Linked DNA regions of Nothobranchius furzeri. The protein of the gene in region 3 interacts with the protein of the main gene of each other region in a pairwise test. Links are inferred from orthologs where the notes say so. Each region holds a gene or a part of one and is shown on either strand. Other genes may lie near its edges.

Region 1 (3,517 bases), on a different chromosome or scaffold from region 3:
TCAGAGTGACCTGTTAGAATCAGAAATAATAATTGAAACAGGGGTTTTCAGTGAAGTTGACCTTTAAATAAATAAATCAGCACTGCTATATAAACAGGGAACAGCTGCTACGGGAGCCTGGAGGGCCAAACAGGAATTCGCCTCAGACAAAGAGGCACACTGATCAAACAGAAAAAACAAGTTTGTAAAGCAGAATGTGACAAAAGGATTTTATTATTAATAACTGTTAAGATGTTAAAAGTGATGTTTAATTTGCTTCATTTGATGAGCAACTTGTTGGACTAAAGCAGACCTCAGTCAAAGCACGGTCTAAAAGCAGTCCGTGCACAATGGATATAATCCAGATTATTGTCATGGTTTCATAAGAGTTACTAAGGCTGCAAGGTTTTCTGTGTGTGTAAAGGCTCCGACCGTTCGGCTGTTTGTCATACAAAAGTTTTCCAAGGAGAGGTTCAAAGTGAGGAGAACAAAACATGTAATTCTGCAATAATGCTGCCCATTCACAAAGCAACGCGAATATTTAATTTCCTCACATAGAACATTCAATGACACATACAACAGAACGCTTTGTCATAGAAATGTCTTTAAAAAAACGTTTTGTTCAGAAGTAATAGCAAAATATTTCCCTTTAGTGCTTAAAAAGAATCTATTATTCAGGTGTCAGAGTAGAAGATCCTTGGGTGGTACCATTCATCCCTGGATGGAATTTCAACTAACGCTGTGAGCCTGGTGCCCAATTCAGGACTCGCTTATTCAATAACTGTTTAACATCAGAACCTGTTCAGTCAGCACGGACATCAAACCGCTCCCACGGGTCAAGGCTGGAATCTGCCGGCACAAATTAGAGAATTTAACATCTGGGTCTGAAAGGCCAAAGATGCAGATTTCTGAGAACGATGGTCTCATAAAGCATTTATCGTACGTGAAAGAGATTAAAAGGAGACCAGAATTTAAACTAATCAAAGAAAATGGGTGAATAATTAGCATGAATGAAAGCTTTGATGGAATTAATTCAGTTATTACCGACAAATAAAAACATTAAAATAAAAGTTTGAGTCAAAAATAAAGGGACGATTCAGTTCCTGTTCGTACTTTTCTGGTTAATTATTATTAATTTCTGTGATTTTAATAAGTTGTTTGTGGCTCAAAGAAACGGGAACATTTAATTTTATTTATCTTGTTTGTAGTTTATGAAGTTTTTTTTATTTATGGTAAAACTGTAAAAAACGTTTGTGTGTGTGTGTGTGTGTGTGTGTGTGTGTGTGTGTGTGTGTGTGTGCATGTGTGTAGGTGTGTGCATGTTTGTGAGTGTGTGTGTCTGTGTACACGTTTGTGTGTGTGTGTGTGTGTGTGTGTGTGTGTGTGTGTGCACGTTTGTTGAGTGTGTGTGTGAGTGAGTGAGTGAGTGTGTGTGTGTGTGTAGGTGTGTGTGTAGTTGTGTGCACGTTTGTGTGTGTGTGTGTGTGTGTGTGTGTGTGTGTGTGTGTGTGTGTGTGTGTGTGTGTGCAGGGTTGTTAGGGCGTGTGCGAGTGAGTAAGACGTTCACCTGGAGGTTTGGTCGAGTCCGTTTCCAGCAGCTGGACGTCGTCGCTGACGTCCTTTTTCTTCCTGATGAGCGACAGCAGCGCGCTGCAGCAGGAGACAGAACAACATCTGGACTTCCTGTTCTGGTCATTTTATTTTTTTATAATGTTAATTTCAGCAAAGCTTTTTCTTTCAGATCCAAAGAAATGACGACACATCATGAGCGATGAGACGGTGATCAGAAATGAACCTGATATAAAATATATTTTTATATATATGTTTCCTCTGAATTCAGAGTCAGATATTTTCTCAGGTTTAATAAAAGTCACGAAACTAATCCTGCAGCTGCCGTTTTAAAGTTTTCAGAATCAAACTAATTTATCATCTTAGATCCTTAACCTCTATCCTCCAAACCAGGAAAACTAATAATAATGTTTAACTTTCATTCAGACATTAATTATAAATAAACTGCTTAGTTTTTATGAGCCATTTAAACAAAGAAACTAAACCAAGTAGTTCATCTGCTGGTTAACCAGCCACTAACCAGCTAGTTAGACGGTTCAAGTCCATCTGGACTCTAAAACCACCAGCAGGTCTAAGATGAACTGTTTCCTGTGAAGAAGGAGAGTTTATTAGATATTTCTCAGGAGAACGTAGAACCAGAAGGTCACTTCCGGTTTGGGTTTGTTCACTAAAAGAAGGAACATGAGCTGAAGGATGAGAACAGAACCAGCCTAAAGACCACACCATCTGGGTTTGAATGATGCTTCAACGCCACCAAGAGCCTCATAAGCTACGGGAGAAAGTTCAGACCTGAGAGGGTTGGAGGATGAAGGTGGAGGAGGTGGGGGAGGTGGAGGTGGTGGCGGAGGTGCAGGAGCAGGAGGTGGGTTAGCAACAGTCTGCAGCTTCTTCTGGAGTTCTTCCACTGTCCAGATAAACATGGAGCTTTAGAACAAACCAGCAGCAAACCGCAGGGATGGAAAAACGTTTTAGAGATTAGCTCAGCATGCTAGCAGATTATCTCATCAGGTTATCTCGTGTTTACAGATTTAATCATTAGACATCTGAATAATTCAACGACTGATTCAGGTTATCATGTTAGCTTTGACTCAGTCATGTTTTCATCACTGATTACGTAAAAACCAAACATCAGTTTAACTGTCATCATAGCACAACTTGAACAAGTGACCCATTCAGAATCACTCAATTTAAAATGTCTGTTGTCTCCTTCTCTCCGTGTCCCGAGTGAAGAGATTCCAGCTCGTTTGGACAAAGGAATGTCATCCTAAGTCCAAGGAAGCAGAAGCTGCTGGAGTCTGGGGTCCAGTCCAGGAACCACCAAACCTGGAGATGATGGATGGATGAATGGATGGGTGGGTGGAAGATGGATGAGTGGGTGAATGGATGGTGGATGGATGAATGGATGGGTGGAAGGATGGATGGATGGATGAGTGGGTAGGTGGATGGATGATGGATGAATGGGGATGGATGAATGGATGAGTGGGTGAATGAATGGATGGATGGGTGGGTGGAAGGTGGATGGATGAATGAGGGATGGATGGATGAGTGGGTGAATGAATAATGGATGAGTGGGAGGAGTGGGTGGATGGATGAATGAGGGATGGATGGATGGGTGGGTGGATGATGGATGGATGAATGAGGAATGGATGGATGAATGAATGGATGAGTGGGTGAATGGATGGATGGATGGGTGGGTGGAAGATGGATGAGTGGGTGAATGGATCGTGGATGGATGAATGGATGGGTGGAAGGATGGATGGATGGATGAGTGGGTAGGTGGATGGATGAATGGATGGGTGGAAGGATGGATGGATGGATGGATGGATGGATGAGTGGATAGGTGGATGGATGATGGATGAATGGGGATGGATGAATGGATGAGTGGGTGAATGAATGGATGGATGGGTGGGTGGGTGGAAGGTGGATGGATGAATGAGGGATGGATGGATGAGTGGGTGAATGAATAATG
Region 2 (3,517 bases), on a different chromosome or scaffold from region 3:
GTCTGATGACCCTGGGACGACAGGCGACTCTGGGGAGTCATCGCCAACCTTCTGAGCGTCCACAGATTTAGTGACTTGGCTCTCGTCCGGGCTGTCGTCGACATTCTGTACGACGATGCTCCTCAGCTTCCTCTGCTGTGGTTTGTAGTTCTCGGTGCGCTTGTGGATGAGGCAGTGCCGTCGCAGGTGTGCCTGGAGGAGGTGGAGGAGGAGACGTTAGCGGGCTGGCTATAGACCTGTAAGCTTCAACAAAAGTTAACGCCCAGTTGTTTGAGAAGGGAGGGAGACCCCATTATTTCTCCTTCTGATCAGTCTTTTAAGGAAAAGTGGTAAAACTTGCTGAAATTGTGTAAAAAGTTGCATCACAAGTTAACACAGGAAGCGATGATGGGAAAACAGGATGTAAACAAACATTAAGCTGGAAACATGCATCAAAGCCAGGAGTATGTTCTAAAGATCCAACCACAGGAAGGTTCTGAAGAGTCGCAGGAAGAACATCTAAGGTGGTGCATACCATTTCTGACCCTTCAGATAACAGAGAGGGAGGGGTGGGGGCGTAACGGCCCTGAGCAGAGAGGGAGGGGTGGGGACGTAACGGCCCTGAGCAGAGAGGGAGGGGTGGGGACGTAACGGCCCTGAGCAGAGAGGGAGGTTTGGGGGTGTAACGGCCCTGAGCAGAGAGGGAGGGTTGGGGGTGTAACGGCCCTGAGCAGAGAGGGAGGTTTGGGGGTGTAACGGCCCTGAGCAGAGAGGGAGGGTTGGGGGCGTAACGGCCCTGAGCAGAGAGGGAGGGTTGGGGGCGTAACGGCCCTGAGCAGAGAGGGAGGGGCCGGGGCGTAACGGCCCTGAGCAGAGAGGGAGGTTTGGGGGTGTAACGGCCCTGAGCAGAGAGGGAGGGTTGGGGGCGTAACGGCCCTGAGCAGAGAGGGAGGTTTGGGGGTGTAACGGCCCTGAGCAGAGAGGGAGGGGCCGGGGCGTAACGGCCCTGAGCAGAGAGGGAGGGGTGGGGGCGTAACGGCCCTGAGCAGAGAGGGAGGGGTGGGGGCGTAACGGCCCTGAGCAGAGAGGGAGGTTTGGGGGCGTAACGGCCCTGAGCAGAGAGGGAGGGGTGGGGGCGTAACGGCCCTGAGCAGAGAGGGAGGGGTGGGGGCGTAACGGCCCTGAGCAGAGAGGGAGGGTTGGGGGCGTAACGGCCCTGAGCAGAGAGGGAGGGGTGGGGGCGTAACGGCCCTGAGCAGAGAGGGAGGGGTGGGGGCGTAACGGCCCTGAGCAGAGAGGGAGGTTTGGGGGCGTAACGGCCCTGAGCAGAGAGGGAGGGGTGGGGGCGTAACGGCCCTGAGCAGAGAGGGAGGGGTGGGGGCGTAACGGCCTTGAGCAGAGAGGGAGGGGTCGGGGCGTAACGGCCCTGAGCAGAGAGGGAGGGGCCGGGGCGTAATGGCCCTGAGCAGAGAGGGAGGGGTGGGGGCGTAACGGCCCTGAGCAGAGAGGGAGGTTTGGGGGCGTAACGGCCCTGAGCAGAGAGGGAGGGGTGGGGGTGTAACGGCCCTGAGCAGAGAGGGAGGTTTGGGGGCGTAACAGCCCTGAGCAGAGAGGGAGGGGTGGGGGCCGAACGGCCCTGAGCAGAGAGGGAGGGTTGGGGGTGTAATGGCCCTGAGAGTGTGCTTTCTACCAGTGGGAATCATTCAGGGCTGCACAGTGGTGCAGTGGTTAGAGCTGTCGCCTTGCAGCGAGAGGGTCCTGGGTTCGCTTCCCGGCCTGGGATCTTTCTGCATGGAGTTTGCATGTTCTCCCTGTGCATGCGTGGGTTCTCTCCGGGTACTCCGGCTTCCTCCCACGGTCCAAAAAACATGACTGTTAGGTTGGTCTGTCTAAATTGTCCTTAGGTGAGTGTGTGTGTGCGTGATTGTTTGTCCTGTGTGTCTCTGTGTTGCCCTGCGATGGACTGACTCTTTCCAGGGTCTACCCCGCCTGATTGCCCATTGACCGCTGGAGATAGGCACCAGCCCCCGCGACCCTACGTGGACTAGCAGGTTCAGAAAATGGATGGATGGATGGGAATCATTCAGCTTTCCCTAGTCTTGTCTAGTTTGTTATGCACCATCTTGGAGGTCACACGAGGTCTTTAGGGTGACACTACAAGAGGGACTTCAGGAGAACAACCTGTCGGGTAAACATGTAGCCACAGTCCCCACACTCAAACTTCCTCATGCCTTTGTGGCGCCGCAGGTGGACTCGTAGCTGCTCCTTGGCTGGAGAAGGGTTCAAAGAAGAAAAGATCAAAAGTTGTTATCATCTCTGTAACACTCCTGCTGCAGCTGGTGCTCGGGACGCTGTTTGGCACCTTTGAAAGTTTTGGTACAGACATAACAGCTGTGGGGTCGGCCCTCCTCGTGCCTGCTGGCCTTGTGGCGAAGGAGGGCTCCTTTCTCCGTGAAGCGCTGCTCACAGACGTCACAGCCGTAGGGGCGCTCCCCGGTGTGCGTCCGCTGGTGTTTATCCAGACTGCCTGGAGGACACAAACAACAGGGTCAACAGTAAAATGACACAGCTCAACCAACCCACCACTTCCTCGTCTGACTCTGTACCTTGTGTCCTGAAGGTTTTCCCACAGAGGTGACACTGATACGGCCTCTCGCCGCTGTGCACACGCAGGTGCAAGTTCAGGTTGTTTTTCTGGGAGAAGGCGTGGCCACATGTGGTACAAACGAAAGGCCGCTCGTTCCTGTGGAGCAGAACAAGAACGCGGGTCAAAGCAGGATTCAGACGGTGACCGGAGCAAACTGTTGATTAGTTTTGTTCTCACAGATTAAATCACCTTTTGTTTTTTTACAGATTTAGACAGAAAACAGCTAAAATTAGCCTTGATGATGTGATCACAATAATAAATCAAATTAATCTGTTAATTCTGATCAAAGCCACCAGAGTTTGTTTCTCATTAATTCAACATTCAGGGTCTGACAATCAAACGAGTTCTGGCAAGATGACTAAAAAGTAGTGATGCACCGATATGAAAATTTTTGGCCGATACCGATATTAAGATCACTGTTATGGCCGATAACCGATATTTGCCGGTATCGATCTACTGACATTAATGCTTCTAAAATCAGCAGATTTTGTATAGAATGAAAATTATTAAAGCTGAATTTACGTTATGTACACACACACGCATTTACGGTTCTGAGATGATTTCATTCACTGTTCACACGACTAATCAATGACACCCCACCCCCACCCCCCTCTGAAACAGGCAAACAAACGGAGACGAGATGGAAAAAATATCAATTGTTAACATCGGCCCGGTTTTATTTATCGAACCGATACCGATATGTTAAAAAATGACTAACATCGGCCGATACCGATGGAATTGTCCATCCCAACTAAAAAATAGGGAAATATAAAATTCAATTTTACACATTTGAGACCTTAAACCAGCGGCACTCAATAGGGTCTTTCTTTGTGAGCCACGTACCGCCGGTCTACTCCGAGCCCCTCCCGGATGACCGAGCTTCTCACCCTA
Region 3 (3,975 bases):
CAACTCTGACTAAAACGAGGATTAAACCAAAACAGTTCATCAGTTAATCTTAGTATAAAACATTCAGATGATGAAAAGTGGCGGGTAAACTGTTTCCATTTGATGACATTATGATCAAGCATTTAATAAAACTAATAAATGCAAATCTTCATTAGACAGACACTAAGCATACGGCAACCTTACCATGTGAGCTTGGTCATTTTTGCTTTGGTCACCATTAGCTTGGAGGCATTTATCAACTCCAGGATGTCTCCGATCTTACTGACCATATCTGGTTTTATCAAAGCAAGAGTCCTGGAAAAAAGATGCAAAATGGTTATAAAACATCACGGGCATCTTCAGCACACACTGTTTCCAGGTTTGTTCCACGTAGGCTGTGGTTCTGAAACAACCATCAGTCTCTGCTTCCAATCCAAACTGCTCTCCCGAGTCCCATCTGTTGGTTGGTAAGCAGGTGACGAGTAGCTTTTATTAACCTTTGAATTTGGAGTTTTGAATAACAGGAATTAAATCTTTATTCTTTTCACAAAAGCCTTTAGTCTTATTGACACTTGTTCAGAAAATGTCCTGTTTTATTAGCCTCCTTCCTTCAAGGTGCCTTCTACTGCTGCTCTTTTTAAATAGGCAACTCCAGGAAAAAGCTGGTTGATTTTAAACCTCCATCATTCCAGAAACACATGAAGCATATTAATAGGTTTTAAACCTTTCATGCCTCAGCACTTTTGCTGGTAAAATTCTAGTTTCTTGGACCTGCAGACAAGCAAAGTGATCTGTGTGACCTTCACATGCATGCGCACCCCAAACACTTCAAGTTCATTCAGTCTGCTACAGACTTACTCACATGTGACATGTGTTATCTCAAGGATTAGCTGTTGCACTTTCTAAAAACAAATTTGATCTTCTAAATAAAAAAATATTAAGTTTTTTTAAGTCTGACTCAAAAGTTATAATCAGCTTAAAAAGTAAATCAAATAACTTAAACAAGCAAAAGTTGTATCTTTACATTATAAATTACAGAAAAATACGACGACAATAAATGAGTGCATGGTGTCTCTGAGTTCTACTTTCTGACTGAATATGACGCAGCTCACGTCTACGAGGTACAGTATGTGCAGAAATTAGACGGGATAACAAAGACTTACTGCTCGGCCCAACTAATCATACCTTTCCTTTTCGCTGCCAAGTTTGTTTGCCGTGAACTGATCTCCATAATCTACTAAATGTAGCTGCCGAGAGAAGATATTGAGTCGATTCCCCACGAATAAATCTTCCTGATTGACGCTGTCACATTTGGTCCTCTTCAAATATTTCTTTCGATTCTTCAAATCATACTACAAATTAAACAAACAAAGGAATTATTCATAACAAAACAAAGAGTTTAAAAAGTAAATGTGTTTGTAATCTGTTCCAGTGCTGTTTGTGTCATCGTTAAAGAGCAAGTCACCCCCTACAACAAACTTACTTCACTCCCACTTCATGTTTGAAAAATGCAACAAATGCTGTTGCTTGGCAGACCGAGAGGGCGGAGCCGCTAACAAATACACACACACACACACACACACACACACAGGCTCACAATGGCATTACGACATCATGATATACCAGATGACATCATAGCATACCTCTTAGCCAATAGCGGTGGCAGATTTAGATTCAAATACAGTGCAGAATCTTTCCGTGATGATGGCACAACACTGACAGTTTTAGGCAGAATATTTGAATTTTAACCAAGATGCACTGAACTGCCAAATTATTGACTACATGTGTCTGCAGCATGATTAGACACTCCTTTATATAGTTTATCAGCAAAAAAAAAAAAAGTGATTTGGGGGTGACTTGCTCTTTAAGTTGCACCTAGAATATACTGACAAACAGTAAAGTCTTATGTCATAACTGCTGCAGCAAAAGCAAACCATTTCCACGGAGCCATCTGTAATGTAGAAGAACAGAAGGAAGCGTCGCAGGAGAGATGCATGCTGATCAAACCATTCGGCAAGGAAAGCATATCGATCTTCCTAAAAAAAATAAAATGAGTAAGATAAACATATTTTTAAAAAGCTTGACAAGCATTTAAATTGATATGAAGACATTATAGTGGTTCCCTAACCCACTAGTCACTGATACATGAACAACCAAAACTGACAGACTGAAACTCTGATCTGGAGCCTCAAGAGGTGATACGGTACAAAGGTGAATTTTCTATGAAATGAAAAATGAGATGGACAACTCTGAGAATCGTTTTCACTGGACAATAATTCAACAACACTGTCTTCAGTCAGAGGGCTCTTTACGTCCACTGCAACACAGATCATTACAGGAGACACCCACCGCAATCACCCCTGGTGGTCGCAGGATCCTATGTTAGCGAGAAACAGCTCTGAACTCATTACAGTTGAACTGAAACGGATAAATAAAATTACACTGAACCAGGTTTACAAACCCATAACAGCAGTTAACTGTCTGAAGTCGCTTTTAACCTCGTCAATAAAAACTTGACATAAATACAAGCCCTAACCCATAAGTTCACCCCAGAGTCATGAAAATCTGAAACTATGTAAACAGTCGCTGCTAAGCTAAAGCTAACCACTTCTCGTTAGATGTGTTCACACTCAAACGTGAAATCTAGACTATCATGAGTATTTATGTATCTTTTATGAAAGCGGGGACTTTTAACTTACCATATGTACGATTTCACAAGACCAGCAAACTCTATAAGCACCGTTACGAACAAATATGTCCACAGGTTAGCCGTTGCTAACTATAAGTTGTTTCTATAGCAACTGTACCGAAAATGGTGTTACGTTCACGCAAACTTGAGCGGTAGTAAATTTCAGTTTTACGTTTATTTATCTAATCACGTCACGTACTTAAGGTTATAGTAGTCTCAAACGTTTAATGAGAGTAAAAAGGTTAAAATATTACACCATGTACTTACAGACATACACAATATTTGCTGACTCACATTGCATTACAGTGAAAAATGTGGCTTGAAAGTGTATCGTGTATTTTTATGAAAACATTTAAGATATTTAAGATGTTACAAGAATTAAAATGCAATACAAATGTACACATGGCCTGTCTCCGCTGTATTTCGTTGTCAAACGCGCCATCTTGCGGTGACTTGTAAAATCAATGAAGCGTTTAGTTATCAAGTATTCTGACGGTACCCAAACGCAACAGTTGACCTTTAGATTACCCGGAAAAACAACACAGTACCTCGTTTGGGTACTTTCTACTCTCTCGACTTGAACAATTGTTTTGCTAATTAATGGGTTCTGCTGCTCGTCTTAGACAGTTCATACACGATAACAGGCCGGTGATCCTGGATGGAGGACTAGCTACTGAACTGGAAGCACAAGGAGCCAAACTTCAGGTGAAAATAAATTCAATTCAATTCAGAAATACTTTATTAATCCCAGAGGGAAACTGATTGCTGTAGTAGCTCAGAATAATAATAATAATCAAGTCATCAAAGAGTTGTTGTATATTACAATGGATGTTGGCAGGAAGGATCTCCAGTAGCGGTCAGTGTTGCAGCCAAACTGAAGAAGCCTCTGACTGAAGACACTCTTCCGTTGTCGGACAGTCTTGTGAAGAGAATGCTCAGGGTTGTCCATCATTTTCTTGATTCTCTGGAGAATCCTTCTTTGCATCATCTCCTCCAGCGGTTCTGAAACTCTGGCTGAGTCCTTGAAAGGGCTTGGAGTTCCTCCATCTGGTTGGCCAGTGATCTCACATCGCCCATTATGATCGATGGAAGAGATGGTTTGAATTTCCTCTTTCTCTGTCTCCGTTTTGCTCCCGCTTTGCACCCACGCTTCTTGCGTTTTAGCTCATTTGGCATTTGTGGCTTCAGTTGAGGTATTATTTCAGCCTTTCCAATGTCAATCAGCTGCTCCCGACTGTAAACCGGCTTGTTGCCATGGTTACGCATCATAACAAATGCTCAAAAAGTGAAAAAAGCTAAAAAATTGC

Evidence for each region.
Region 1: the proteins of nme7 (region 3) and shtn1 interact in binary tests that used the Homo sapiens proteins (3 or more experiments, as listed by UniProt). The two-hybrid records come from large-scale screens. The link is inferred for Nothobranchius furzeri from reciprocal best matches to the Homo sapiens genes NME7 and SHTN1.
Region 2: the proteins of nme7 (region 3) and zbtb48 interact in binary tests that used the Homo sapiens proteins (3 or more experiments, as listed by UniProt). The two-hybrid records come from large-scale screens. The link is inferred for Nothobranchius furzeri from reciprocal best matches to the Homo sapiens genes NME7 and ZBTB48.

Annotation. Positions count from the first base shown.
Region 1 is NC_091752.1:9,266,134-9,269,650, forward strand, and holds part of shtn1 (shootin-1), read right to left. Parts: intron 2,453-3,517; coding exon 2,338-2,452; intron 1,630-2,337; coding exon 1,547-1,629; intron 1-1,546. UniProt on the Homo sapiens protein: Involved in the generation of internal asymmetric signals required for neuronal polarization and neurite outgrowth.
Region 2 is NC_091755.1:39,583,363-39,586,879, forward strand, and holds part of zbtb48 (telomere zinc finger-associated protein), read right to left. Parts: intron 2,723-3,517; coding exon 2,586-2,722; intron 2,507-2,585; coding exon 2,342-2,506; intron 2,250-2,341; coding exon 2,161-2,249; intron 193-2,160; coding exon 1-192. UniProt on the Homo sapiens protein: Plays a critical role in transcriptional regulation and chromatin remodeling. Acts as a regulator of telomere length. Directly binds the telomeric double-stranded 5'-TTAGGG-3' repeat.
Region 3 is NC_091756.1:61,694,140-61,698,114, forward strand, and holds the start of nme7 (nucleoside diphosphate kinase homolog 7), read right to left. Parts: upstream 2,810-3,975; 5' UTR 2,682-2,809; coding exon 2,679-2,681; intron 2,016-2,678; coding exon 1,914-2,015; intron 1,332-1,913; coding exon 1,165-1,331; intron 295-1,164; coding exon 184-294; intron 1-183. Other genes in the region: uncharacterized protein zgc:172121, read left to right, coding at 3,269-3,373. UniProt on the Homo sapiens protein: Possesses an intrinsic kinase activity. Displays 3'-5' exonuclease activity with a preference for single-stranded DNA. Does not seem to have nucleoside diphosphate kinase activity.